Medicago truncatula: one gene and its partners. The main gene of each other region encodes a partner of the protein of the gene in region 4 in a complex. Links are inferred from orthologs where the notes say so. Each region holds a gene or a part of one and is shown on either strand. Other genes may lie near its edges. The genes, in order: mediator of RNA polymerase II transcription subunit 8, mediator of RNA polymerase II transcription subunit 21, mediator of RNA polymerase II transcription subunit 31 and mediator of RNA polymerase II transcription subunit 19a.

Region 1 (7,580 bases), on a different chromosome or scaffold from region 4:
TTGCTGCTGAGGGGATGGCGTATTCATCATATTTGTAGTAGACCTAGGTGAATTGGCATATGGAATTGGTGAAGCTGTTGTATTGTCAAAAGAAGTGGCGCTGGTTGCAGCAGAAGGAGATGCAGCTGATCTTCCCAAAAGTTGTGATCCCGATGTCTACATTAGCAATAATGTGAGAAGATTAAAAAACTTACGACTAGAAAAATCGATATTTTTCATAATTTCAATCCACCAAATGAAGTAATTAGTTCTCATTCCATAGGTTTAAAAGTTCGGCAATGAGGGAAGTGCACGAGAGGTAAAAATCAAATAGGCCAGATGAGGTGAGAGTTTGAGCCTTCTCCCAATAAATTAGTCTGTCCCCATTGTTACAGTCTAGTGGTTGGTTGTGAGGAGGTTTCATGTGGGTGCCTGGGTTTGATCCCAGGTTTTCCACCCTTCCCCCTCCCTATGTGTATGTGTGGCCCCTCATCTATAGAAAAAAAATAGGGTTAGATGAGGAATCAACCATGCAGCGCCGCTTAAAGTAGCTGTGCAATTTATCAAATTTTATTGTCCTTCAAGTTCAATCTAATAAGGATCAGATGGGTTTTCAAATATAAAATTAAAATATGAGACTATGACGTAGAATATTTCAAAATCGCGAAACCGGATATGAAAAGGTAGAAAGCAAATCATTTGAAGCAAGAAAATCCAAAATCATAAGTAACCATAATTCACATATACCCTTTATTTACAGTATTAAAAAACAAGAGTGAAGAAGATAGTCAAATATCCATTCATAAAACCTTCATCGAAATGTGAATGACCAGACCTGTAACAACGAATTTTGGCCGCCCATACTGTTTGATGACAATGGGGTATTCTTCATATACACATCTGAAAGTAATAGTATATATAAATGCCACTCGAAGTCAAATTATAAAATCAAAATATTTTGGAGATGGAGAGTTAAGAAGAGTGATTTACTATTGCTAGACCCGTCAGGAAAAGATTGTGCACTCTCGTTGACCGTAAATGCGTCTGCCAAATGCATAGGAAGTGAAGCAGTTATATGCCTCTGGTCTCCAGGTATCCGCAATCCTGCATGAAGTTCCATTATATCCAAAAAAATCACCATAAAGATACAGATTTAGAGAGTCATTGGTATGAAAGTTTAAATTCAACAAACAAAAACTTTATTCAAGGCAAGCCAACCAATAGCACCTTCTTGTACTCAAGAAGTCCTTATGAGCTAAACCAAGTCTAATGCAAACAGTGACAAATGTACATTAGCAGAATTATCCATATGAAAGAAATTTTAGATCTTAATATGTATTTAGAACAAGAGTGACCATTGGTTGTGATATATCTATAAATATATTTATTATAGTACAAGGCGGAAGCAGGTGAAATTATTACCCTCGCCAACATTGACGGCAGCTCGGAGTAGATTTTCCTGTTCTTGAATTTTGGCAGCCTGACCCTTGTCGAGAGTGGGGGCAATGGCAGGGCCCTGACGAGTTCCAAAGCAGTAAGCTTTACGAGTGTCAGCCAATACTTTTTCGGCACCTTCACAGGCTGCGGCAATCATATCAATTCTAGCCTGCAAGAGGGAATGAAGAATGAAGAGGGAAGAGGGAAGACGGAAGAGGAAAGGTAGATGTGAAGTGGAAAGGGGAGATAACCTTCAATTTGTCAATTTGAGTGGCAATTGGGAGGTTCTGCATCCCCTGAAGCAATTGATCTCTCTTCAAGGTGTCCTCCGTCTCCATTTCAGGGAGTAGTTTTGTGGAGAGCATAACAGGCAGTACTGATAAAACATTGTCACGGTGATTTGAAATGTGAATGGATGAAAAGTGTACAATACATATGAGATATTATGTGTTCATACTTGTAGCATTTTCGGCATTGACATTCTTGGGATAGACTATGAAAGCCTTGGAGACCTTCTTGATATCGTCAACGATGTTGAAGAGTTCGAGATTGACCATGGAATACTGACCCAGAATATCTTGCCATTTGGGATTGGTGTTGGTGCGACCATAGGCATCAAAATCTTCGAGAATCCTTGATATAGCTTTGAACAGGCTGATAGCACGTGTCTTTACTTGTTCTAGGTTTAGCTGCTGCTGCACTGCCTGGTTCAATCTCTCCTGCTGCTGTGGCTGCGGCTGCTGCACCAACTCACCCTCCATTCTTCTTCCCTTTTCTGTTTGTCCGTCCCAATCCCCGCAACGCAACAACTCTTGTTCTCTCTCGAAAATTAGACCACAGACAAATATAGAGTACTGCAGAATAGAATAAAAGGTTAATCACACATCAGAGGAGCTGCACCAACTCGCAGTAGCCACATTTTCAGTTTCCATGATTATCCTATTCCTCAAAAAAAAAAAAATCCATAAAAACGCTTTGTTTGAAAAAGAATTTGCAACAGAAAAATGTAACACAATTTCCCAACATAATCCAACTTGATATGTCAAATCCTTCAGTTTTCAATCAACAATAAATCAAGTCAAACGAAACAAATCACAATGGTTTACATTTACTTTTTTTTCCCCCTTTTAGGTGGCAATAAAACAGAAGCTTCGATGATTGATTAACTCAATTGAAATTGTTTTTTTCTTCTGATTTTACTGTGGTTGATATGGTTTCACATTATCATATAATGATGTGTTATCACTTTTTGAATGCATTGATGATTCTTATGAAACAGTGGTTTGCTTCCAATATCAGTGACAGTGAGGCAACACTAAAAGTTAAAATCAATTTCAATTTCAGTGCTGCTCTGCTATCACTGTCTTAATTCAATTTCAATTTCAATATCTGATTCAATTTCAGTATAATAATTTCAAAACTGACCTGAAAGAGGAGAGGAGAGCAACGGTTGTGGGCGGTGGACGTGGTGGTGTTGTTGGGTTCGTGACACTGGAAACGCGTGTGTGGTTAGGAAAGGAAAGATGAAGGAAAGGAAACGCGAGCCTGCTGTTTTTTTTTCTGGGTTTTGCAAGTCGGAGAGATAGACACAAAAATGAGCAAATTGTCCCTTTGATCCCTGACTCAGGATTAAATACAAATAAGTCATGACTCTGCACTTCCATTATCACTTAATCCCTTACGTTAAAAAGATCTGTTAAGTGATGATGTGGCGCATATGAGGTGTCACAGGGACCAAAGTGAAAGTAGAAAATGGTCATCGTAGTCCATGAACCAAAAATCAATATTCCCAAATTGAATATCAAATTCCTAAATCTCAAATCCCTAAATGTCATCTAATTATCTCTTTTGTTCAAAATTAATCTTCCATTAAACATAACTTAATGTTAGGTCCCTGACTGTGCATACTTACTATCAGTTAGATCCCTGACAAATGAATTAACAAATCCAATAGCATCTACTACTCTTGATTATTGTTATATTCACGTGATAATTCATATCTCTACCTCGTAGATCTCAGCATACACAGTAATCAAGAGCTCAAGATATATTCAAATGATAATTCATTTATGTTGGATTTTTTTTAACATAATTTCTAACTTGAAATTTGTTCTACATAGTAGGTACTAGTGCTACATCTAACATAAGTTGTTTATGTTTCCAAGTTTATTATCAAATTTCTCACTTTAATTTTTTTCTTTCATGAGAAGCTAAAGCAACTAAAGCATAAGTTCTTTCATGTAACTTAATATGCATTAGTTATTCAAATCTCTCCACAAAAAATTGGATACTGTTGTTTAAAGACACATAAAAAAATCAAGCTATGACTTTAAAATACTTACGGGGATTATAATCAAACACACCGTTCATAATTCATTTATCTATATATGTAATCCTGATGTCATTATATACTAAAGGGAGAAAGAGGTAACGGAACCACAACACTATGGCACTACTAAAAAACTCCAAAACTTTAGCCCAACATACCATTGCCTCAAGATCAGCTTTCAAGCCAAAAATGTCCCAATAGCCAGGGACTTTAGTGAAATTTCGTGTTTACTGTCAGGGACCTAACTGATAGTAAGTATGCACAGTCAGGGACCTAACAGTATGTTGGTGTTTAATGAAAGATTGATTTTGAACAAAAGAGATAATTAGATGACATTTAAGAATTTAAGATTTAGGGATTTTTTATTTTCAATTTGGGCATATTGATTTTTGGTTCAGGGACCAAAGTGACCATTTTCTACTTTCACTTTGGTCCCTGTGCACCTCATATGCGCCACATCATCACTTAACAGATTTTTTTAACGTCAGGGACTAAAGTGATAACGGAAGTGCAGAGTCAGGGACTTATTTGTATTTAATCTTGAGTCAGGGACTTATGTGACAGCGAGCTACATAATCAGGGACTAAAGTGACTATTTGCTCCACAAAAAATAGATGGTGGGTCTTACCACTAAGTGGGTCCCACCATCATTAATTATATTTTACTTTTTTCAATATTTTATGTGTATTATCTCTCCAAATTGAAGAAATGGAGAAACACATAAATGGAGAGGATTCTAACCTGTTTTTTTGTATATATTTAGCATTCAAGAGAGGGTAATGTATATTTATGTAAGATTGGAGGGAGTGAAATCCTCTCCATTTATGTCTTTTTCGGTTTGTACCATTTGGAGAGACAATGACACATGAAAAATAAAAATAAAAATAAAAATAAAAACTAATGATGGTGGGACTCGCTTAATAGTAAGGCCCCCAACCTTTTTATGTGTGTATCTATTTTTAAATGGCATTCTCCATTTATTTTTATAAATGAAGAGGATCTTAACTCGATTAGAGGATGTTTAAGGAGTTAAAATCCTCTTCATTTTTACCATTTGAAGAGATAAAGACACACAAAAAAGTAGTAAAGAATAATCCACTACATATTTTATATCTCTATCTCTCTCCAAATTGTATATTTCATTTATTTTTATAAATGGATAAGATCCTTACCCGTCTATGATGGGAAGAGGAAAATGTAATTTGCTCTAAAAATGATTTCTTAATAATAAATTAAATTTAAAAAAATATTTAATAATAATTCAACTATTATTCCAAGTTTACATGTTTAATAGCTAAGAATTCTCATGACATATTGTTTAATTTTGTCTCTTTTTCGTACAATCGTATTGTTGTGTCTGTCTACTTGTCATACGACTGGCCACTATCATATTGTATAAATAATGGTGATTTAAACTTTAATGGGGATTTGCCATTACTAAAGAATCTATAATGGTTAATTATAGAAAAAGGTGACGATGTGATACGATTAAAGCTTATTCGTTTTTTAAGAAGGATTTTTTTTTTATAACTTTTTAGGGGAATTTTTTATAATTATTCTCAATAAAAATAATGAACAAAATAATAACAAATATAATAATATATTTGAAAGATTTAAATAAATAAATAAAGGGTTCAGGGACCAATATGAAAGTGAAAAGACCAATATAAAAGAGTACTGAAAGTGCAGAGACTCATACTAAAACTTCGGAATATTTTAATTCTAAAAATTTTGTCTTTTAGTGTGTTATGTGACGTGTAATAATTGGTTCACATGACACACGTTAGCTTTGCCTTTTTTTAACTTGGACTTAACACAAAGACCAATTGTAAATTTTTTATAAAGTGCATGGACCAATGTCAAATACAAAAAAGTGTAGAAATTAATGTCAAAATATGATCAAAGTGCAATGAAGAATGACATATTTAAGACATGATTGATACTATAAGAAGAAGAAAAAGTCAAAACAAGTTAGATTTGAACCATATATATCTACTTTGTTTGATTTTTTTTCTTCTTATATCTAAGACGAGTAGTAAATTATCATCCAAAATTGTAAGCATATCTTAAAACAGTCTTTGGTTTTTGTGAACTAACAAATAAATTCATGTAATAGTAAAATGTTGGGTTAAATATGTTTTTGATCCCTATAAATATGTCAATTTTTCGTTTTAGTCCCTCTAAAATTTTCCTTCAACTTTTAGTCCCTATAAAATTTTCAATCACTACTTTTGGTCCCTATTTTTAATTTAATTTTTGTATTTTGTAATGAAATTGTGCAGAAATGTGTCAAATATTCTATTTTTTAACAAAACACAAATTAAATATGAATTTTTAACCATAAACAATATAAAAATTCATATTAAATTCATGTTTTGTTAAAAAAAAAATTAATTTTTTTTGGAGTCATTCTTATAATATTTTGAATTTTTCTGGAAAATTTTATTAAATAATATGAATTCTACATATGAGTTTACTTTAAAAGAGGGACCAAAGGTGAAGATTGAAAACTTTATAGGGATTAAAAGTTGAAGGAAAATTTTAGAGGGACTAAAACGAAAATTTGACATATTTATAGGGACCAAAAACATATTTAACCCTAAAATGTTTGTGAAAATAGTCACTTGATTATTACCCTTAGACTGTATGACATAGAATCTCACATCATTGTCACCATACTATGAAGTATAAACTAGTTTGTCTATATTGAAATTTATATGGAGTTTTGGGACTAATTTATCAATAATTAGTTCATGCATATTTGTAATTATTGATAAATTACTTCGTAAACTATTTAGTCCCTAATAAGTTGACAACATGTATTGGATCAACGTGGGGACATATCTAGTTAACATAACATGTCATAATCTTTAATGATAGAAGCTAACAGAAGGATCATTTTGAATAGCATTTTACAATATTGAGAATAAATCTGTCAATTCGCACGACTGCTTCGGGGGCATTGATTGGAGTGTGTGGTATGAGTAAAACAGATGCAGATGTTGCTAAACGTGCAGCCACACGACTGCTTGAGTTGGATCCTCTGAATGCACATGGTCATGTGACCCTATGTTCATGCTTTCTCATCTGGAGATAGATTAGATCCACAAGCAGAAGAAATGTTGCTACAAATTTGAGGAAGACAATATCCTTAGCACAACACTTGTACATAAAGGGGCTTTTTTGACACAAATATGTCACTGCTAGATGATAACTGACAAGGCAACATCTTTGTTATTTCACTAAGATTTTCCTCGTTACTGCTATATTATCAGAAATCTGGGCTGAAAATCTTTAAACCAACACGAAAAGTTGTTGCTTAGGTAAAAATTAGACGACTCTCGAATTCTCCCTGGTCTGTCAACAAACTAAAAACAAGTAAAGCATTCAGGACAGGAATTTATTTCTGCTATGATTGGTAAATTACTAAAATAGGTTGCAACAATAACAAAACCTACGTCAAATTCTCAACCGCCAACCATAGTATCATTCCCTCCTATGTATGTTCCTGCCTAAGTCCTGTTATAAGTACCCATTCGTATTCCATGTTATATCCAATTTGCATCCTTCCCTTTTATTTGTTTCAGTTTCTCTGCACATGCAATGTGGCCATTGGTTTTACGTGGTGCACTGTTTCTGATATGGAACAATTTCCAAATAACATATCATCATTCCTACTCGACATTAATACTATAAATACCGAGCTAGCTTCAGTCATTTACATTCATCATCTCAATTATTTCTTAAGCTATTCTACTCTAATTCTTGGACAATGATATTTTTAATATCTCACTTTTCTCTTAAGTCTGTAATTGTTGCTATGATCTGTAACTGT
Region 2 (7,635 bases), on a different chromosome or scaffold from region 4:
GGACCTACTTGTGTATATCTACATACAATTGACCATGCAATGCAACTCCATGTGACTCCACTTAAACAACATGTATGATTCAATAATTAACATACATTTAAATCATCATCAGTATTCATCAATCCAGCAATCCAATCAACCAAAACAATGCATAATTAAATATAACTATGCCCAAAACAACAACATCAATCATCACCATTCATACAACAACAATCAACACTCAGGAAACTGTGCAGCTCGCCTCGCGAGCACATCTGCTCGCCATGGCGAGTTCACAAAAACACTAGCTCGCCATGGCGAGTTCAAGGCGAACTCGAGGCGAGTGAAAATCAGGTGCTCTCGGGAAAAGTGCCATTTTCTCACTCAAATCCCAATTCTAAGTTCCCTATTCATCTTTTTAACCTAAAACTTCCACCATTCATCATTAATATCATCTAGGTACCTTAAACCATCCCCAAAACATCTTATAACAATTTTTCAAAAATCACGTTTTGATCTGGGCTACTCGCCATGGCGAGTTGGTCTGCTCGCGAGGCGAGCTATGAAGTTGCTCACTCGCCATGGCGAGCACAGCTACTCGCGAGGCGAGCGATGAACTTCTGTACGGGCAGAAAACTGGTTTTTCCCAAAAATCCCATTTTCCTCCCAATCACTCCCCAAATCAGTTTACAGATGAGAAATGAATGTTTCTATGCAACCAAAACCAAATTCTAACATCAGAACAGCAATATCTACCCCAAAAACCATAAATTCAATTAAAACCCAATTCCTCAATTTCACTCCAAAAACCTGTTAAACTCAAATCAGACTTTAAAATCTACACTATTGAAGTAAACCTCACCCTTACCTTAGTTCAGAATAAAAATGCACAGCAAAAATGGATTCCCTTGGTTCTTCTCCCTTGTTCCTGGTTTCACATAAACTGCTTCTGACATCCAATTCTCAACTTCCCTCTTACTTAACTCCCTAATATTTCCATTAGCTCCCCATTAATTTTAATAATTATTAAATAACTCTCCAAACTCCAAAATAACTAATATTTCATACTTATTATAATTATTATTAAATAAACTATATAATAAAATAATACACCACATAAAACACTCAAAAATCACATATATATAAATATATATATATATATATATATATATATATATATATATATATATATATACTCCGCATAAATCACCAAACATCATATATAAAAATATATATACTCCACATAATTCAAATTAATTAAATAAACAACTAGGGCGTTACAAATCACATCGCTCTACCCATCAGTGACTAAAGATCGACTCATCTGGAAAAAAGAAAATCATGGCGAATACTCTATTCGTAGTGCATACTGTTTTTTTGTTCAAGAATTACTTGAGACATCCCATTTCAAGGTACTAGGCTCTTGGAATATAATTTGGAAGTTCAAGATTCCTCCGAAGGTAAAAAAAATTATGTGGCAAATTTGTAGGAATTGCTTACCAACCCGTGTACGTCTAAAAGATAAAGGAGTCACATGCCCTATGAATTGTACATTGTGTACGGTGAGCAATGAGGATACACTTCATTTATTTTTTCAATTTTCAAGTAGCTTAAATGTTTGGAGTATGCTTCCTTTCTTTTCTTCTATTTCTATTTTGCTACAAGATATGGATAACAAGAATATTATCTTCAAAGTATTACATGATTTATCTAAGGATGATGCAACTTTATTTTGTTGTGTGTTGTGGACTATGTGGAAACAAAGAAACAACAGAGTGTGGGATGAGGTAATTGATGCTCCAGTTTATGTTGTTGAGAGAGAAAATGTTATGCTTCATGATTGGCAAGATGCATGTAGGATTTGTAATACATCTTGTGCACAGTTGCGACAAGAAGGAAATGTGAAATGGATCAAGCCAGTTAAAGGAAGATTTAAGTGCAATATTGATGCTTCTTTCTCCCAGCTTTCTAATAGAGTGGGAATAGAAGTTTGTATAAGAGATGAGGCAATTTTGTTTTGGCAAAAACTGAATGGTTTACTCGAGTCTGGGAGGTACATGTTGGCGAAGCTCTTGGACTGTTATCAGCTTTAGAATGGGTTCATCAGTTACACTTGGGACCTATCGATTTTGAGCTTGATGCTAAAAAAAGTTGTAGATAGTTTTTCCTCTGCACATCAGGATTTTACAGAATTTGGGATGATAATTCATAATTGTAAAACTATCTTTGAACAATACTATGTCAACTCTAGTGTTGAGTTTGTGAGGAGACAAGCAAATGAGGCAGCCCCTAGATTAGCTAAGGCGGCCATATCCTCAACTAGTTTCTAGATTTTGTTAGAAATACCAAATTATATTGAACACATTTTAATCAATGAAATGGTATAACCTCCTTTCATTTAAAAAAATAAAAGGCTTAATTGAACTGCCGATCCTTTAACGTATTTCTTTTATTCAATTTGGTCCTATAAGTCTTAACTTTCTCAAACACGTCCCTGAACTTATTTCTTTTATTAAATTTGATCAATTTTGATAATTTTAATCCTCTAAAAAAAGATATCGTTGGATTAGGGAGGTCTATAAGATTTTATAGTGTATCACCAACACCTAATTTATTTACTTTCTTCTTCTTCTTCCATCATCTTCATAAAATAAAATAGAAAAACCCAATTTTTTTTTTCAATATCATCTTTATCAATCTTCATACAAAACCTCAATTAAACCTCAACAAGTTCCAAATTTGACATAAGAAATAATGACCCGTATGCAAAAGCATGGATCTGTTCTGTTCCATAAAAGTAAATAAACTCAGCACAAGAAATTTTTGAAGGTTTAATTTCTATCATTTTCAGTAAATTGATCTACCACACGTGGACCCATTGGAGTAAGCTTTTGAAGAAATTTCTGTCATTTCAGAACCATGCAGTGTAGGTGGGAGTTACAGCTACAACTACTCCACCATCGCCACTGCCACCGTGCCGGAAACAAGAGAAGACGAAGTTACAAGTAAGCAAAGGATCAGAGAGGGAACTCATAACCGGAATCGGAATCAAAGCCACACCAATGCATCAAGGAATCGTTCTTACAAAGACGACGACCCAAATTACTGGCGTGGGTACTGGAGATTCCACGGGAGAAGAAAGTTGTGGTTGGTTCAGGGTCGGTTCGTTAGAGGGAGTTTCCCAACAAGGGATTTCTATTTTTTATTTTTTTTGTAGTGATTTGAAGAATCTTTTTGTTTTCTGTTTTGAATGAAATGGTTTTGAAATGATTCGACGGTGATTTGGGAATCTGTATGTGTGTGATTAGAGCTGTCAAAACGGGCCAGGCCGTATGGACTGGCCCGTTTAGCCCGATTAATTATAGGGCTTGGGCCTTAAATATTGAGTCCGAATTTTAATAGGGCTTTTTAGCCCGGCCCTAAAAAGCCCGCTATCCGTTAGGGCTAGCCCGAACGGGCCGAGGGTAGCCCGCTAGCCCGCATAACAAAAAAAATCCTATAAATTATATATATTTTTCAAATAATTCTTTACTTAGTCGATTATCAAGTAATAAATAAAAGTGAAAATTCAATGAATTAACACAAATATACATGTAATATAAAATTATATTCACTCGTTTCGTTATTTATAATTTTAAAGATCGAATATATAAATATCTATAACCATAACGTATCTAATTTATTTAAAATTGTTTTCCTCGCCGTTTTAGTTTACGACGTTTGTACGAAAATGTTTACAATTTATTTTGTTCTAGGCATTATTTAAACATATTAAAAATATTATTTATAAAAAAAAATTATAGGAGTATTTTATAGTACTTTTTGAAAAAAAAAATATATATAATTTTTAAAACGGGTCGGCCCGTTAATCCCGCGGCCCGTGTAGGGCCGGACTCGGGTAGTATATTTCAAGCCCGTTTTTCAACCGGGCTTTTTGGCCCGGCCCGATAAAGCCCGAAGCCCGTTAGGGCCGACCCTAAACGAGCCGGGCCGCCCGTTTTGACAACTCTATGTGTGATTTTGAATTTTGAAGGTTTAATTGTAATTCAATTTTATATAAAGCTCAAGTATCTAAAAAATTGTTGGATTTCTAAAAAAATTCAAAAACCCATTTGATGATAATGTTGATTTTGGGTATGAGATTTGATTTTGGTGTGTTACAGAAACGGTGTGACTTAGGGAAGCAATTATGTGGATTATGATGATAATGTTGGATTTGGGTGTGAGATTTGAAGTTGGAAGTTTGATTTAGGGATGGTTATGGTGGAGTGATTAATTTCGGGTTTGAGTTGATGAGGATGAAAGAGGGTGTTGATGATGATAGATGAAGTTGACAATGATGGTGGTGTAGTAATTAAATAGTAGGTTTAAATATTTTTTTTCTTCTGATTTTATTGATGAATATTGATGAAGGATGAATGAAGATGAAGAAGAAAGTAAATAAATTAGGTGTTACTGATACACTATAAAATCTGATAGACCTCCGTAATCCAACAATTTTTTTTTTTTAAGATATTAAAATTATCAAAATTGGAGCAAATTGAATAAAAGAAATAAGTTAAAGGATTGGCAGATCAATTATGCCAAAAAAAAAAAAAAAAACTAGTCGACCAACTCCAAATGGGTTTCTAGCTTACCCATTAACCCATGATCTAAGACTGACCCATCAACCCAATTAATAATAGGTAATACTGGTGCGATTAAGAAACGAAAAGAACAAAACGAGAGAAACACTCTCGAAGAAGAGAGAAAAAATTGCGCCATTGTGGGTGGGATTACAAGTACAACTGCTGGTGAGTGAGGGAGTCAATGGCTTCGTTGTAATCAAAACTTCATCTTTGATTTCATCTCCTTTTTGTGATTAAGTTTTGCATTTGATTCTGTTGTGTTTGTTTTTGGGTTTTCACTATATTGCTCAACCAATCGTAATAGTTTAGATTTTATAATGTATGCCAAGTGTTTGATAAATTGTTTATATATCAATTTGTTCGTTTTCAAATTCAAATTTCTACTTTCTGTTCCTTATTTTGCAGTTGACAACTAGAATTTTATTGAGTCAATTTCCACCACAAAGTTGTTCTTGTAATGGATATAATCTCTCAGCTACAAGAACAAGTTAATTTGATTGCAAACTTAGCTTTAAATACCGTCGGAACATTGCAAAGGGATGCTCCTCCTAACCGCCTCTCGCCAAATTACCCCGAACCACCTCCACATCCTACGGAGGACGGGGCAAATTTTTCTGAAGAACCGAAGCTCATGGGTGCTTCTTTGGTCAAGGCTGCTAAGCAGGTATGTTGCATTTTACAAAGTTTCGTAGAAGCTTTAAATATGGTTATGTTGGACTGTAGAAATTGTGAGTAATCTTTTGGATATTATTTTAAATGTAATAAGAGTTGAATCACTAAACTAATTAAATGGACTATGCTATTCCTAACGGGTAAGATTAACTGGCTGAATATAATCTGTAATAATAATTACAAAATATACGATCATATTTACAACAAGTGTCATACATTTTAAACAATTCTGCTCAAATTTGATGGAGTATCAATGCTTGGCGTGTGTTTGTCAATAGCGGCCGCTACAGCTGATATAGCTGTGGGGAGCGGAAATTTTGATGCCGCCGCTCCCAGCCGCGCTCGAGTGGTTCAGATGGGTGAGGCGGCCGCTTTGACCGAGTTATCCCAGCGCTGATCCACTGTGATATTGTCTGTTCCCACCGCATCACCCATGTAAACGTGCTACGTTGCTGTCATGGATCGATTTTTAAGTAAAAATCAGTTTTTAAAACGCGACAAAGAGGAATAACTTAGATCAGGGAAGATAAGGGAAGACTAAACACAGAGTAGTAGGGGAAGATATTCAGATAACCCTTTATCACTGGTTTAGAAGGAGTGAAGAAAAAGAGTAGGAGAGGAAGAAGGCATGAGGGCATTGCTCTTTACACTTTAAAAATTACTGTCCCACACCAGAAAATGACTCAAATGCCCCCAACGGCAGTTAACTGTTCGCTTTTTTGTGGCGGAAGTTAACTGCCGTTCCACAACCATAATTACATATACATTAAAAAAGGTAAAAAAACTACGGCACTTGAGTGTCGTGGAGAATGAAATTTGATTATTGTAATTGGGCCTCTCGTGGAGTATATTATTTCAATAAATATAATTAGACTTTTCACCCGTGCGGCATCAAAACATTACCTGCACTTTTTATTAAAAAATATAGGTGCGATAGATCATAAGGTCCATTAAAAGAACTCATGTTATATGTATGTATGTTAATTTGTTTAGTAAATGTTAGCTTTTACCTGTCACTATGTTTTGTATGAAATGAGCATATGTGACTCCGAAACTTAGATTGCAATTTGAGATATAATGCATAATTGGAATATAAAGGATTATAACCATGTATGTGTCAACATAGTTAGATTAAAAAGCTGCCTATTAATACATAATTGTAATATAAAGGATAACACCAATGTATCTGTGAAACTGGTTAGATTATAAACCCGTCAATTAATTGTCCAAATACTAATATACATATAAATTGGTCTAAAGTGTATGCGTTTTCAGCAGATAAAAACATATGTCATGGAATGGCAGAACATACTCTCCATATACGTAAACCATAAATAAAATCAAACACATAATAGCTTGCTACAACGACTAATTAAAAATCTTTTCCAATTGAAATTATTTTTGTTACCTAACAGAACCATATTTTGTTCCTAGGCCATGTTGTTACAATCACTTTATTTACAATAAAAGTACTAAACATCCTTCTAGCACACAACACAGCATTTTGGTGATGACTAACAACGATCAACATAAGATGAATAACATATACATCGTCCCACAACAGTTTGAAAGGAAACATAGGAGACAAATTGGCATCCTCATCAATCCTATTAACGACAAACTTCATGGTTGGGATGAAAGTTGGATATCGAATCGATTTACCAAACCTATCCTTAATCCTTATCTTAAACTTTCCATTCCCAACCAAAACAACCGTAACCCAGGCACCAAGTGAAACATTGTAAAAGTCATGCAGTGCGCGCCATCCCTTTGTCAGGAAAATGCCGCCATTATTCCTCTGCACCAAAACTTCTAACTCATTATAGTTGGGATTCACTAACGTCGCGGCGTAGCGACCGATCTGGTCCCCAAAGTCATGTCCAAACATGGTTGACAGCATGACAACACCCTGCAAGCACGAAACCAAATCAAAATAGCATCAATGAATATACCATTGATATCACAAAACAGAAACAAAACTTAAAATAGTTTAATCAACCCACATGATCAACATCAAACTCTATGATTTAAGTCCTATAAATGTCTTTACCAGTAAGTGTTCTTCATTAGCTAATTTAGTTACTGACATTCATGTAGTCAGCCTCTTCTTAAAAGCTGGAATTAAATGTATAAAATTAATAAAATTAGATTTCTGCTAAAGTTAAAGGTCTAAAATATAGCAGATGAAAAGAATTGGGCATATGTACCTTTCTATTATGCATAGCTATGAATTGTTGGATGACAGCAGAGTCATCAGTAGTCCTTTTCACAGAAAAGCAATGCCAATTATTTATTATATTACCATCACCAACTTCAACCTTGAACGACCATTGCTTATCTAAGAATGACTGAAATT
Region 3 (7,224 bases), on a different chromosome or scaffold from region 4:
TATAAATGGCAAAAAAAAAATTAGAAACCCAGAAAGTAGGGTTCTTTCATCACCATTCATGCCTCTTCTCTTCTCTCACATTCCAATCCATTCTCCTCTTCATCCTTCCCACTCGAATCTCTTCTGTCAAATCAAATCCAACATCACAAGAGGCTCATCTTTCAATTTAAGATCTTCCTCTTCTTTTTCATTGTTATTGCTTTCGCCACCGCAGTTAGGTTCTGCCGTCACAGGCCACCAAATTCCACACTACCAGTAACGAACATAAATGAAAAAATAACATACAGAAGGCCAAAATACAAGTCTGCATTACCCCAACACACACAAACGTTGTTTGAAAAAGGGTTTGGTTAAAGAGAGAAAAGGGAAAATTAGTGGCTATGGTGTGAATAGAGAAAGAAAGTGATTGTAATAATGAGAACGATGGTGAGAAAAACTCTATATTAACAATATATGTTATAGCCACTAATTGGGTTGTTTATTTCTCACCATCCTTCGTTGCTTATTGAAGAAAAACTAATATAGTGGGTTGTTAATTTTGCTTGCTGTTGATTGTAATGATAAGTGAATGCTGCTTATTGTTTAATCGAATTTCAATTCATTCTTCTTCGAAGAAAAAAAAATTGGGTTGTTTATTTTGATTTTCTGTAAATTGAATTGAAATTGGATTGGATTTTTTTTCTTTTTTCTTTTTTGCAAATTTGTTCAGAGATGAGGATAGGGAAGAAGCTAGATAGAATTATGAAGAAAGGAAAGAAAAATTGGTTGATGATGATTTATGAGTTTTTGGATTTTTTTTTTCTTTTTAAGAATGTTGATGAAGATGATGAAGAAGTTGAGGGGGAGAACGATGAAGAAAAGGAAAAAAAGTTAGGTGTTGCTGGTACATCATAAGATAAAATAGACATGTATAATCTAATGGTTCTTTTAAAAAATAAAGATCAAACGATTTAAATTAAAATATTTAATAGGATCTATGGTGGACCACTCTAAAAGTAATCCATCATAGACATTTGGGGTTAAACTTAACAGCCAAGGATTTATTTGACCGACGGAGATACAATTGAGGGACCAAAACCTGACTTTTATTAGTTATGGGACAAAAATCAAAACTTGAAATTAATTAAAGGACCAAATGACCTATTAAGCCTATATTTTGTCACTCTTTTTTAAAGAGTAAATAGTCAATTACCCCCATAAAATTGTAACTTTCGTCAAAACCCCCCTGAATTTTGCAAAATGTAAAAAACCCCCCTGAAATGGTCAAGCGTCTGTCAATTACCTCCTCCGTTAATTTCCTCCATCCAACATGCTGATGTGGCCGTTAACTGCCACGTGGCGCTGACACATGGTCAGGAAAGTCATGCCACGTCATAGGGGGGTAATTGACTATATTTTATTTTATTTTATTTTTGTTCGAAATTTTCCTTCATATATTATATAAAATAAAATATAGTCAATTACCCCCCTATGACGTGGCATGACTTTTTTGACCATGTGTCAGCGCCGCGTGGCAGTTAACGGCCACATCAGCATGTTGGATGGAGGAAGTTAACGAAGGGGGGTAATTGACAGACGCTTGACAATTTCAGGGGGGTTTTGACGAAAGTTATAATTTCAGGGGGGTAATTGACTTTTTACTCCTTTTTTAAAACTTGTCTCTTAAACTATTTATATCTCGTCTGTTACTGCCTCACTTTAAATCCATACACATCACTCTTTTTTCTAATACTACTCTCTTTGATATGTTGTACGTATCAAACGATCAATGTTTTACCGTTATTTTTATGTAACAATGAAATTTATTTACCTTATGTCTTTATGAATATTAAAAAATTAAATTTTAATATTCATTAATTAATGTAACAACACGTCTTTAGATCTTGTAAAAAAACACGTCGTTATATATATATATATATGCGCGCGTATGTAAAATAACATTTATTAAATTATATTTTTATAGGTTAAATAAACTACTACTATTTTTTTATTATTTGATAAAAATAAAATAAAATAATAATAATAATTATTTTTTTAAAGAAATTATTTATTTTTATTTTTATTATGTTACACTAATTTTGCAATAAAAAAAGTCTAGAGAATTGTTGTTCCCACATTACATATGGCTGTGCCACACGAGTAAATGACGTTTTTGTTCCTGCGGTAGTTAACTACCGAAGTTTAGAACCGGCTGCAGCTTCGGCAGTTAACTGCCGACGAAAAAACGAAAAAAAAAAAACCTCGGCACTTAAGTGCCGAAGAACTCATAATATTTTTTTTTTCAAGATTCTCTTAGACTTTAACCTCCACAATTGGAAATATTAAAAACTTACTATCTCATGATTTCATTCAAGATAAATATAAATAATGAAAACTTACTACTAACAATATATTATATAGAAAGAAATGTGTAATGCACTAATGCTACACATGCAATTATGTATAATTAAATATGAAAGATGTTAAGCCTATTGTGATTAGTAGAATTATTTATTTACTTTCACAAAAGCTAATGAAGAATTGCTCCTGTTGATAATATTGTCTTTGTCTAATATGGTCCACTGTATACTACTCCCTCCGATCTTATTTATAAGAGAAGGTTGACTTTTTAGATTTGAATAATATATGTATCTAGTCAATAAACCAAATACATAAATTATTTGATGTATCTAAAAAGTAAATTGTCTCTTGTAAATAGGACCAGAGGGAGTATATTGTATCAAAGTGGCAAGCACATTATTTCTGAAATATGTAAGAAACACTTCAGTGTAGTGTGGAATTGAAAGTCTAAGAGAATCTTGAAAAAAAAATATTATGAGTTCTTCGGCACTTAAGTGCCGATGTTTTTTTTTTTTTTTTTTCGTTTTTTCGTCGGCAGTTAACTGCCGAAGGACCTTCGGTAGTTAACTGCAGCCGGTTTCAAACTTCGGTAGTTAACTACCGCAGGGGCAAAAACGTCATTTACTCGTGTGGCACAACCTTATGTAATGTGGGAACAGCAATTCTCAAAAGTCTATACCCCTTTACCCCTTTCTATCTCGTACAAACTTAGAGTATATTTTTATAATTTTCTTTTTATTTTATTTTTTGGGCTTAATTGCACTTTTGGACTCCTATCTTTTCAAAAGTTGCGGTTATGGATCCATAACTAATTTAAATACAAATCAGCCCCCTATGTTTTGATTCTTTGGCAGTTTTGGACCCCAGTACATTGTTGATTCGGTCAACGCTGACGTGGCACCCTAAGTGAGGTGCCACGTGTCAATATTTTTTTTGTTTTTTTGCCTTGGGGGTCCAAAACTGCTAAAGAATCAAAACATAGGGGGTTGTTTTGTATTTAAATTAGTTAGGGGTCCATAACCGCAACTTTTGGAAAGATAGAGGTCCAAAAGTGCAATTAAGCCTATTTTTTTGTCATTTAACTTTATTCCACACACACCATATTTATTTCAAAGTTAATTTTCTCTCTCTTCACCAAAGAAATCTAGAAAACTCTCTCATTCTCAAACAAGCCCTAGCCGCCGCCGCCTCCTCCCTCCTTCAGTGTGTCTCCGGCAGTCGTTACATTGCTCCACCATCTTCATCCTCTCCTTTTCATCTGTAATTATACTCTATCAAATTTATTTCAACTCAAAGATGATTTTAAATTTCCCTACGACCATCTTTTCGGCTAGATCTTGACATCCACGCACAAGCTTTTGAAAATCCATCACCATAAAAAGAGTCCCCTCCATCTTCTCTACAAAACCCATTTAAAAAAATCAGGAACGGACAACCTTCGCCGGTGACCACCACGCCGGAGCTTGCAACCACCGCGCCGGGAAAGAGCTTACGTGTTTTCATCCCGATCTGGGTCAGAATTTTTACACAAACACTTAAACCTGGGCTGTTGTCTTCATCAAGGTCAAGTTCTTTACATATTTTGTTTCCATTACATGCAACAACAACAATACAAATATGAAATTGGATGTGATTTTGTTTTATTTCTAGAGATGTAAAAATTTCTTTTGTAGATGAATCTTTTTTAGTTCTGATGCTACTGATAAAAAAGTCTGTTTTTTTTTTATACTACAGATTGATAACAAAAATCTATAGAACAGCCTTTTTTTTTTTTTCTTCAGAATTTAGGATTTTTTTTTTACAGAAGAATAAAATTTTTATTTGTAAATCAAAAGAATTTTTTTTTTCACTTTCTGTTATTACTTGTTATGATTTAACAAAAAATTCACTTACATTTTCTTGTAATATGACTCAAATAATATTCATTTCTTTCTAAAAAATTCACTTTATGCTATTACTTTACTTGTTGTGGTTTAACTAAAAACATAGTTTTTTATTTATTTACAAAGCCGAAATTGTTATGCATAAAAAAATAAAACCAAACTGATACTAAACCATATTCTCAATTCTTTCACTCTGAGAATCAGCTGCTCATCCCTCTATCTCTTATTTATGGGCTCTTTTTTTTTTTTTTTTTTTTTTTTTCCTTCCCTTATTGCTCGTATGTGATCTGGAATCTTCCTGACAATGAAAGGATAAACATTAGATCAGCTGACAAGTTTGCAAGACAAACAACAAACAAACTAAGAAGGCACAATCATCAGCATTTTCTAATGAATATATTTTGTATATTTGCTTTTTTGTTGTTGATATAATTGTAAAATTGTGTTAGGACTGTTTTTGGATATGTATTCTTTCTTTAACTTCTCATCTTTATACATTTTCTTGTTTTGCCTCATATGTGATGTTGAAGATTCTATAGTTTGTTAAATATGTCATATGTAGCTCAACAATAAAATGAAGATAAAAAATTAAAGAAATAATGAGTTTAATGATCATTTTCATGGTTTTGTAAAGATGAAAAGAAATTATTTTACCTGTCTGTGTTCTTCCTTTTAAAAAGAATTTCCTGCAATGAGAGAAGAAAATGAAGCTAAAGAAATGAAAAGAAGAAAAAATGTAGATAAGAATAAGTCAGAAAAAAGAGGAAAGGAAAATGAAAGAATATGAGTATTGAAGGATAAATATAAAGTCTGTTTGAAATTTGAATTTTGAAATTGAGAATTTGGCTCCATTGATTGGATTCCGTGTCAACCAAAATCTGGCTTATAGTTGGCATGTAATGGAACTGACTTTTTGAAGAGCAAAATAAATCAAACTATAAGCTTTTTATAGTTAAATGACATCATAGTAGTTAAGTGAGGTCATTTAGTTAGAAAAAGTAATTTTAAGACAAAATTTACCCTTAAAAGTGATATGTGGCAGCCAATCATTGATGGGCAAAAATAAGTTTTCCACAACATCTTCCCTTCTTATATTAAGAGAGATATTCAAAGGTGATCTGGGTCATATAAAAGTTCCAAGCTCTAACCCTGCTAATTATATTTCATTAAATAGGTGTGTTTTTGTTCTTGTAGTTGAGGATTCTGTTTCCATGGCCTCTAAAACTGAAAGCGGGAGTCCAAGAGATACCCCACCATCACCGTAAGTATAATTGTAATCTTTTTTAATTTCAATGCCTTTTGCATGTCACATTATCATGGCCACATTTTTTTTTAAGGTTGTGTTTGATATTGATAGGCCCAATACAACACTAGTCTATCGTAGAAGGGGAGCAAAGGGGAAAAGTAAGCAAGGGGGTGGGTCTGCTATCTCAACCCAACCCGAGGACAATAAGGGGACAAATAGAGTAGGCCTCCAAGTTTATACAAGAAAGAAGAAAGACGTATCAAGGGGAACAACAAAAGTTGTTGTGGGAGAAAACACAGTTAGAGGAGGAATAACAGAAGGGACAAATGGCAACGGGAGAGTATAGTGTTAGAGATAGTGTATGGACCGGGCCTTGAGCCCGGCCTCTGTAAGGTAGGTGTTACAGCTGTCTTATGACAGCTGAATTTCTCTGTTGTTAATAGCTTCTGTTGGAAGCTTCTAGTTAGTTAGAGTCAGTAGCTTGTTCTACAGGCTTCAAGTTGGCTAGAGTTTGTTACACTATGTATCTGTAATAAATAAAAAAGTAGTATAATTGTTATCATTCAACCAATTATAATGAATTCTGATAACATTCTCTCATTTTCTTGTATTCTATCTTTCTAACATGGAGAGATATATGGAATCATTTCTATATAGTTAAAGGTGGGGGGTCAGAAAGTCAACATTTTAGAAAAATTGTTTGTGATGGTGAGGCTAAGCCTTTGTGAAGAATGTTTTCCCTTCCTCTGTGATTCCCGACTCATTAGTCATGATCAACCCTTGTGTGACAAGCCACAGCCGCTCTCACTGCAAGCATTAGAGTGTCCATCATTAGCCTCTTTTCCTGTCAATTACCTTCCTGTTTCGTCCATTTGTCTCTAAGGATTCCCTTCCTGTAGATTTCATACTCTCCCAGGATTGGGAGCTTTGATACAAATTTGATAAAACAGAGACCGGTAAAACCTAAAAAATTAATGGCGAGAGCGAAAACAGGAAAGTTGGAATGACGGGAAAAAAAAAAGTAGAAACGAGTGCCTACAAGTGCTGCACAATAGAGCTGATTCTTTATCGCTCCACTCTCCAATTGGCATATGCCCCTTCTGTCATTCCTCCAACTGTTTTATCCGTCTCTGATTTTTTAGTTTTGTTGTTCCACTTGATGCGTCTTTCATCCTTCTTGTACAAAACTTGGAGACTCGGTCTTTCTAGTCTCTTATTCTTCTCGGATTGGGTTTAGACAGCAGCTCATCCCTCTGATCAGTCTGCTCTTTTACTCTTTTTTATGATCGGTCTTTGTTATAATGGGCATATCTGGTAACAGTTTGAAAATTTAATTTATGGTGCAAAAGATAAGGAGAGGCACTTTATGCTGGAAAAGTTATTAGTTTAAGCCTACCAGGCCTGGTTGGTTTTTTAGAGGAACTCTCAAGCCACCCTGCATAAATTGGTTATAACCAATAGTGTTTGTGTTCTATTCAGCATGAAGTGTGTGCCCATTTCAAGGGCTTTCCGTATACTACAAATTTTAATTTGTTCTGTCTTAATCAATTTCTTTTTTCATTAATAGAAGTATGATTTTGGGATTTGTTGGACATATTGAGCTGTACTTAAGCGCTGATGGTTGTTTTTCTCTAGGCCAAAGAGTATATACAAGGATCCAGATGATGGGCGACAACGGTTTTTGCTGGAACTGGAATTTGTTCAATGCCTTGCAAATCCTACCTACATACACTGTATGATTTTCATTTTATCAAT
Region 4 (7,847 bases):
TCTGAAGAATATAGATGCAGCGAACTAAATTTCTTCAACCTTTTCATGATGTTTCTTTGAGTGATCAGCACTGGAATCACGATGCCCGCTTTTGTCTTTCTTTTTGTCCTTGTCTTTGTCTTTGCTTCTGTCCTTGTGACGATGTTTGTGCTTCTTATGCTCCCTGTCCTTGTCCTTATCCCTGTCTTTGTGCTTCTTATGCTTCTTCTCTTTGTCTTTCTCACTTTTTGATTTTCCTGCAATTGTTGGTATTCCTTTCTCCGCCTATTAGGGAAAATACAAGGAACAATCAAGATACAAGTCCACAAAGAACACATCATCAAACTTTGTTAACAAAAACTAAGATAGCATGCTGAATGATTTCAGCAAGAATTAAAAACTAAGTATGATCAAAATCACTAAAAATTTCTTACAGCAGGCAAATCGATGGGAGCTGTTTCCCTTAGTTGGAAAGACTCCTTGAGTATATCCAAGTCGAAAGGCTGTATCCGAGCACTTGTCTCTCTTGAGAAAGATGTATTCTGAATGAGTTCATCCAATTGCATGCCATCTCCTTTTCTTACTTCTGTGTCTCCTACTACACTGTGCAGGTAGTGTGTGTCCGCGATTGACACAGGAAGCGGCCTCTTGCAGAAAAATTCATAGTGCGGTATTAATTTGAAATGACTTATGAGATCCACAGCACCTGTCAACTCCCTCGGTCCTGAGGATTCAAAAACACAGAATGTCAAAAAACACAGTTTTTCTTTGATGAGTAAGTGACTTACTGTAAGTATTAGCTAAATATAAAATATACACAAGAAAACTTTAAAAAGGGATAATTGCACGGAAATCTTCAAAAGATGCTAATAGAATTTAATGTTTTCCATTCAATTCCCAAAAAATGAACGGGTGATAATTGACAAAGTTTCAAATCTGCCAAAAGGGCAAATAAACAACTAAAATCACGAATAAATAATTAAAAATTTAACCCAGTATTGTCAATTAGATAACAAGCACAGTCAGTGCCATAAACATATGAAATCCGGACTTGTATATACAATAATACAAAACAGAGACATCAAATAAAGATTTTATAGAATTAGGTATACAACATAAAGCACTATCATAAAGCACTATCATAAAAAACTTTTACCTCCTCCAAACTTTTTTCCTTCAGGATCCATGATTCAATCTTTCATGGTTCAATCTTCCACAGAACCTGATTAAAGCTGTCGGTTATTGGAACGAAAAGAATGTTTACAAAATTATTAGGGAATACATAATGAAACAGATGATACCATATAAAAATCATCATTTGTCACATGAAAACCAACAAAATTATATAAATCATTCTTTCTCAAGCTACCCTCTTAAATTACGGTAAAGAAGGCTTCTAAGCCATTTCAAAAAGACATTTAACATGTGCCACAAACCCCAAAACTTAAACAAACTAACTGGAAAAAAGTATTTCTATACCCGCAACCATTGTTGTACAGCTAAAAGCTTTGAAGGAGACTATCAATATTTTAAGAAGCCCTAGCATTCAAGCAAAACGCCATCTAAGACCAACTAGGAAAAACAAGTGTTCCCAGTAAGGCCAACAGAAAATATTAATCCATGCCTAAAGCTAATAATCTGCAAACAGAAAATGAACCATAGAATTCATTCACATCGTTTTCTTTTTCCATATTTCAAGAAATTGAAATATCCAAAAAACCATAGACCATAAAAATCATTCTAGACCAATGAAGCACTGAAACAAACGTGCACACCAGACACAACAGTGACACATCAGCACCGGTAATAATTTGAAAATTAAATTAATTGAATGTAATCACATGTGTCGGTGTTGCATGTCCCATGTCGGACACGCCTTTGATCAAAAGTGTTGGTGCTTCAGAATTCTAGACAATCCCAAATAGCACATGGAATCATCACCCAAATAATACAGTTGATAACTTAAATTCATACAGTTACAAGCCTACACACTAGCATAACAAAAACACGTTCAGCTTGTGTAAGCATAGATAGACTAAAAACATCAAACTACACATGACCAGCACCAATTTATATCAAGAGAAGCATTCAGTTTCACATGGATACAACGGCTCCTTTAGATGATCTAAATTGTAATTACTTTTCATTCAGTTTCATATAGTCAATAGGGAAGACATGAACTTGATTGGTTCAGTTTTGAAAAGAAAAGGGGTGGAACCAAGGGGGAAAAAACAGCACAATCATGTGTTATAGTTATAAAGTGCTTATTTCAGAAATTTTCATGGTTTCAACCATCAATTGTTTCTCATCCTGTTTCAATTTCCACCTTTGAAGATTGTTAAATATTCAAATCCAACGTTCAAAAAAATTTAACAGCTTTTCAAAAAGTGGTTTTCAACAAAAAAAATCTAAGTCTCAAAACATAGACCACAAAAAACCACAAAATCTTCATCACATTAATAACGCAATTAACAAAACATGCTTACGCCCTAAAAAAAATCAACTTCAAAAACAATCAAAACAGTGAAGAAAACCCCACCTGTAGAGTGAATAATTCTCAATTCCCACAAAAACCACCAAATCTTCTTCAAATTGGCACAAACACAAACCTCCAGCAATTGCAAAACTTCAACCACCCCAACAAAAATTTCTTCGAAAGCTGCACAAAATTGAAACCTTTCATCAAAATAAGCCAAAATCATCAACAGGGTAGTCAAGAATAACAATAAAAAAGTAACTTTTTTATGTATTCATTGAAAATTCGGTAATTGACCCATGAAAGAGATAGTGTGTAAAAGAATGAAACCTGCAAAATTGCAGATCCAAACAGTGAAAGAAGAAGAAAGGGATTAAAGGGTTCTCACAAAAACAAATAAAGGAAAGATCTTTGTTGAGGTTTCAGTGTTGGAACAATCTTTGTGTTTGTTCCTTCGGTAGTACTCGTGATTGTGTTGTGTTCTTTCTCTCTGTTTTTTTTCTCTCTCAGTCTTATGAATGAAAAAGAGCAAAAACCCAAAATTCTTTTATGTTCCTAGTTGCCACCTCTTATATATATTTAGCTTCCATTTTCTACAATTTTTCAATTTTACCCTTTTGATATTGCTATGCTATTGGATCAAGTGTCAACTTACCCCTAATGGGTAACGGTGGACTATTTTTTCATGTAAGATTTTTACTTCTAGAGAAAGAAAGACATTGGAAATTGGAGTATAAAGGTGCATTTGATTGGTTAAAAAATAGTAAAAAAATGGGATAGAATAATTTCAGTTGTATTACGTTTGATTGTTTTAGCGATTAGACAAATTGGTAGGCAAGCGAAAATTTTGTCATCACTAAACCATAATAGAATTTCTTTTTGTCTCAAGCACAAGTTGTTTAGCCTCCATTTTTTGTCATATCAATTGCCCGTGGTTTATGAATGAGGTAAAATACTTCAAATATATCGTGTAAATTGCTATGGACAATTTATTTCTATTTTTGAAGATAAAATTAAACTGGTTTAGTATAAGCTATAAGTTATTCTTACAAGCTATTTTGGAGAACTTGTGAAAATAAATCGAAAACGACTTATGAACATGTCATAAGTTATTTTCATAAGTTTTCACAAACAGCGTCACAAGTGTATAGACCGGTGCATAACTCAAATAAACTAATTCAAGCATGTTCAGTCTTTTTAACTCCTCTAAAGTGTAGAAAAAAAAATAGCATCTAAAGTGAGCAACTTCATTTAACATTTAACATGTATTACTAAATCAAATGTAGATATTATACACATCTCATATTTATTGAAATAACAACACCTAATTTTATCACATTGTACTCTACTTATTCTACTAGAGGAGTCAAATCTATTATCAAAGTAATAGTAGCAGTGACCATGTTGAAGTGGTACATAACCAAGTAAGATAGAATTGTGTCACTAATTCAAGCTTCAAAACACATTGAGAAAAATGTTATGGATAACTTAAATCCGTAGTATAATAAAATATTATAACGTGATCATTTGCACACAGTAAGGTGTTAAAAAAATTGTTAACTCGTATATAATAGTACAAGAATGATGTCCAAGGTTCAAATCTTAAAAACTAACATAACTACTAACTTATTAACATTTGTATATCTTAAATAAGGAGCGTTGGTAATCCAAAATAAAAAAATAAGGTAGGTTATGTAATTTTTATCTTGTATTAAATTTTCACAAACTTTTTTCTACAAGATTATGTTCAAAATCAAATTGATGAAAAAATACAAGAGTCGCAAAGCAATACTAAAGAGAGTAGCACAATTAAATCAACATTAATTGATACCATTTTGCATTCATCTAATCAAATCTAAATTAAATCAATATGATCAATAATGAATCAATTTTGATATTAATCATTAGATTCATTATTTTTCATATCTTGCTCACAAAATCAACATTCCTTGAAACTAGATATCATGGTCATCACCTATTGTTATCATAAATCAAGAGTCGATTTTCGAGAAATGGAGCTCACCATAATTTGTCAACGTTGATGAGATTTTATTCTGGTTTTCTTCATATCTATCAACATCAAGAATCTTGTTGCCATTGAACTATGAGATAAACCAATAGCGTGGATGACGTATGAGGCGGTAACACAGTGTGTAACGACTATCACATTTGATTTAGCATTTATTCATCTCAAACCCTAAAAATGCTTGTCGTTAAGACAGACAGTACAATGGATAAATGTTTTTTCTTGAGTACATTTTCATTGAAAACTTCTTCAAAACAAAGATATGGTCTCTTTGGTGTTCGCCGCCGTGAGGCAAACGAAGAATAAAACGCCGAATTGAAATCTTCGGTTTTGGTGTCTTAGATCGAATTAGGGCAAGAAAGTCAAAATGTGTTTGATTACTAGTTGCATCATGACATATCCGCATTGTATAGTCATTTGGGCAAAACACTTGTTCTAAACAAATATGAATATTATATTAACTATATAATAGTCGCATTTTAGTATATCTAAAATGAAATTGGATTGGGCCAATGCTATATCTTTTTGGGCCTTTTTTAGATGATGTGTTGTTGGTATGTTAGAAGAAATAATGCTCATTTAAGTGTGTACTGAATCTCAAACTAATTTCATTGCAATCAACAATGATTAGAGGAGTGAAGTTTTTTTTTTTTTAGATAAACAGATATAAAAATGTGTTGCGCTAAATTAAAGGTTATTAATATGTCTTGAGATATATCAATATTAGCATCATACACACTTTAAATTCAAAACATGAACCAATTCATTATATGTATTGTGTACTCCACAATCAATTCTTCCTCCGGGATAAAAGATACATAAAAAAAGTATATCTTATCACTTTGCTTATATTTCATTTCAAAAATAGTATATCTTATCTTAATTTTAATGTATATATTATATATATAATGTTATTATAAATAAAGTTAGTTAAGGTTTCAAGTTTATTTTCCCATCAAAATACACATGTGATTGAAAATTCTATTGTTTAAAATTTCATATATTATTTGATTTGACATTATTTGAAATTGTGATGAAAAATAAATAGTCTATCCATCGCTTAAGTTATGCTAAAGCTTTCCTACGATTGAATGTGCTTTTGTAAATTCATATGTTAGAATAGCAAATAAATATTTACTATTAATTATGGACTGTGAGGTGGTAGAAAATAAATGTGTAAAATGGGAAAAAGAAATTTTTATTAAAAACTTAAGCCCAAACTTGGATCTATGTGATTTACTTCTTATTAGTTGACTAAGTCAACCCCCTTTCCTTCCTTTTAGCAGAACCACTCATACACATTTCTTTAATTCCGTCTTTCGCTGAGCTCCTTAAAGAAAATAGAAGAACTAAAAGAAGAAAATAAGGAGAAAAAGGATGCATAGAAGAAGTCCATGAGATGGAGGAGGAGAGTAGGAAGTAGTGCATGCAAATTTAAGAGGAAATAAAGGAGAAGAATGGAAGATAGAGATGAAACCTAAATCATTTCCTCACCACAACATGGTTCAAGAGCACTAAAAATATTTATTTTTAGGGTAGTGTTAACTTGTGCCTTTAAGGCACATGTTAAGAAATCCAAAAGAAGAAACTTTCTCTATGATTTTGTGCATTTAAATGATTAAAAAGTTAAATATTAAATGCAATACACACAATCCAATATGTTTTTTTATATATTTGAATCATTAACTTGTGCCTTGAGGGCACAAGTTAACATTTCCCTTATTTTTATCATGGTTATGGGTTCATAAAGATAGAGAAGAAAGTGAAATCAAGTTGGAGTTCGAAGAAGGAGATGAAGTTATAACTTATAAGAAATATTTATCCCTTTTCTAAGAATAAAATGTAATATAGGAATTCCCCACAAAACCTCTATCAGGAATTATCTAGGATCTTTGATTTATACATGTCATTAAAAGTTTGTGTTTTAGGTTGGGTGTTTTCTCAACCTTAGGCATTTGTGTATTTTGTATGCATCTAGGAAAAGTTATGTGTACTTTATATATCCCCTCTTCAAATATGTAGATGAGTTCTAGAAATGAAACTCCCTTTAATTAAAATTACATGTTGAGTTTTATAATGGATGATGTATTAATATAAGGTTTGGGTAGGTAACCTAGACTTTTAGCTTGTAATCTCAACGTGTAGAGTTTAAATTCCTTAAGAAATGGTTGTATATTGACTATCAATGATACTTTATTAATAAAAAAAAAAATCCTTTTACCTAATTTATGAAGGAAAAAAAGGTATTGTAAAAAGATGGAATTCTTGATATTTGTTAATCAATTGAGTATTATATAAGAAATATAGATGTTAAATTTGATTAAATGTATTTTCATATTAAGATCAGGGTTTTAAGTGTTTGAGTATTGTTATAGGCCTACTAGAGGACCAAAGTACTCAATGTAATGCAGAAAAATCGTGTTTTTAGCAGGTCTGATTGAGGGAGCTAGGTGTTGCATTGTGGGAGATAGGCACCTTAAAATTGAGAGCATACACTTACATGGACACCAAGCTTCTTAGAACACCTTTTTCATATTTTTTTCACCTCATTTTTAGTGGTTTTTCTAACAGTACTTGTTAGTTATATGATTATATTAGTATGTTTTAACTTAAAGTATGTTGATTTATGTCAATTCATGAACTTTTAAGGATATGTAATCATTAATACCAATAATATCATCATATACTTGTTAGACAAACTTATGACTTAAGTGTATCACATGAATGGATAACATAATACAAGACATAATGAGGTATAAATGATTTCTCCTAAAAATGAAGGGAACTCTCCTTTTAAAGAATGGACATGTGTAAGGGCAGAATATTGGGATGGTGCTTGTGGTGTAAGGACATACATAGGACATGAGTTACAATTTCATGGATTACTTGCATATGAGGGATTGACAATAAACATTGCAATGTTAGAGTAAGATAATCGTGGTTTATCCGGTAATAGAAGGAACTCTTCTTCTAAAAAGGGAACATATGTAAAGGCGGAGATAATGAAATACCTCTTATGGTCAAAGAGTTTACCTTACATATGGATTACAATCTATTGGAATACTCATGTTTGAAGTATTTATATAAAAGACTTAATATCATATTAAGCAAGTATGAATGTTATAGTGTATCAAGATGTATTACATTAGTATGAGATACAAATGTAATAAAGTAAGATGTAACTTAATGAACTGAGGTGTCAAATATACATGCGCGTACACACACTCACACACACATATATAGAGAGAGAGAGTGAGAGGGGGAGAAATAAAGTTTGTGCTGAGAGGATTTTTTCCAATGCCTAACACATCATACATGTCTGTGAAACATCTAGAAATAAATCTTTTACACTCTATTTTATTGAGT

Evidence for each region.
Region 1: mediator of RNA polymerase II transcription subunit 19a (region 4) and mediator of RNA polymerase II transcription subunit 8 share a complex: the UniProt entries of both Arabidopsis thaliana proteins name them as parts of the mediator complex. The link is inferred for Medicago truncatula from reciprocal best matches to the Arabidopsis thaliana genes MED19A and MED8.
Region 2: mediator of RNA polymerase II transcription subunit 19a (region 4) and mediator of RNA polymerase II transcription subunit 21 share a complex: the UniProt entries of both Arabidopsis thaliana proteins name them as parts of the mediator complex. The link is inferred for Medicago truncatula from reciprocal best matches to the Arabidopsis thaliana genes MED19A and MED21.
Region 3: mediator of RNA polymerase II transcription subunit 19a (region 4) and mediator of RNA polymerase II transcription subunit 31 share a complex: the UniProt entries of both Arabidopsis thaliana proteins name them as parts of the mediator complex. The link is inferred for Medicago truncatula from reciprocal best matches to the Arabidopsis thaliana genes MED19A and MED31.

The regions. Positions count from the first base shown.
Region 1 is NC_053046.1:4,594,990-4,602,569, reverse strand, and holds the start of mediator of RNA polymerase II transcription subunit 8, read right to left. Parts: upstream 3,008-7,580; 5' UTR 2,842-3,007; intron 2,271-2,841; 5' UTR 2,178-2,270; coding exon 1,874-2,177; intron 1,793-1,873; coding exon 1,668-1,792; intron 1,586-1,667; coding exon 1,402-1,585; intron 1,084-1,401; coding exon 970-1,083; intron 880-969; coding exon 815-879; intron 157-814; coding exon 1-156. UniProt on the Arabidopsis thaliana protein: Component of the Mediator complex, a coactivator involved in the regulated transcription of nearly all RNA polymerase II-dependent genes.
Region 2 is NC_053048.1:13,820,614-13,828,248, forward strand, and holds the start of mediator of RNA polymerase II transcription subunit 21, read left to right. Parts: upstream 1-4,622; 5' UTR 4,623-4,772; exon of another isoform or gene 4,773-4,799; intron 4,800-5,012; 5' UTR 5,013-5,064; coding exon 5,065-5,271; intron 5,272-7,635. UniProt on the Arabidopsis thaliana protein: Component of the Mediator complex, a coactivator involved in the regulated transcription of nearly all RNA polymerase II-dependent genes.
Region 3 is NC_053042.1:49,976,872-49,984,095, forward strand, and holds the start of mediator of RNA polymerase II transcription subunit 31, read left to right. Parts: upstream 1-4,203; 5' UTR 4,204-5,275; coding exon 5,276-5,336; intron 5,337-5,397; exon of another isoform or gene 5,398-5,417; coding exon 5,418-5,484; intron 5,485-5,560; exon of another isoform or gene 5,561-5,830; coding exon of another isoform or gene 5,831-5,862; intron 5,863-7,104; coding exon 7,105-7,202; intron 7,203-7,224. UniProt on the Arabidopsis thaliana protein: Component of the Mediator complex, a coactivator involved in the regulated transcription of nearly all RNA polymerase II-dependent genes.
Region 4 is NC_053049.1:10,410,928-10,418,774, forward strand, and holds the start of mediator of RNA polymerase II transcription subunit 19a, read right to left. Parts: upstream 3,004-7,847; 5' UTR 2,844-3,003; exon of another isoform or gene 2,786-2,843; intron 2,639-2,785; 5' UTR 2,519-2,638; intron 1,212-2,518; 5' UTR 1,167-1,211; coding exon 1,136-1,166; intron 704-1,135; coding exon 414-703; intron 265-413; coding exon 40-264; intron 1-39. UniProt on the Arabidopsis thaliana protein: Component of the Mediator complex, a coactivator involved in the regulated transcription of nearly all RNA polymerase II-dependent genes.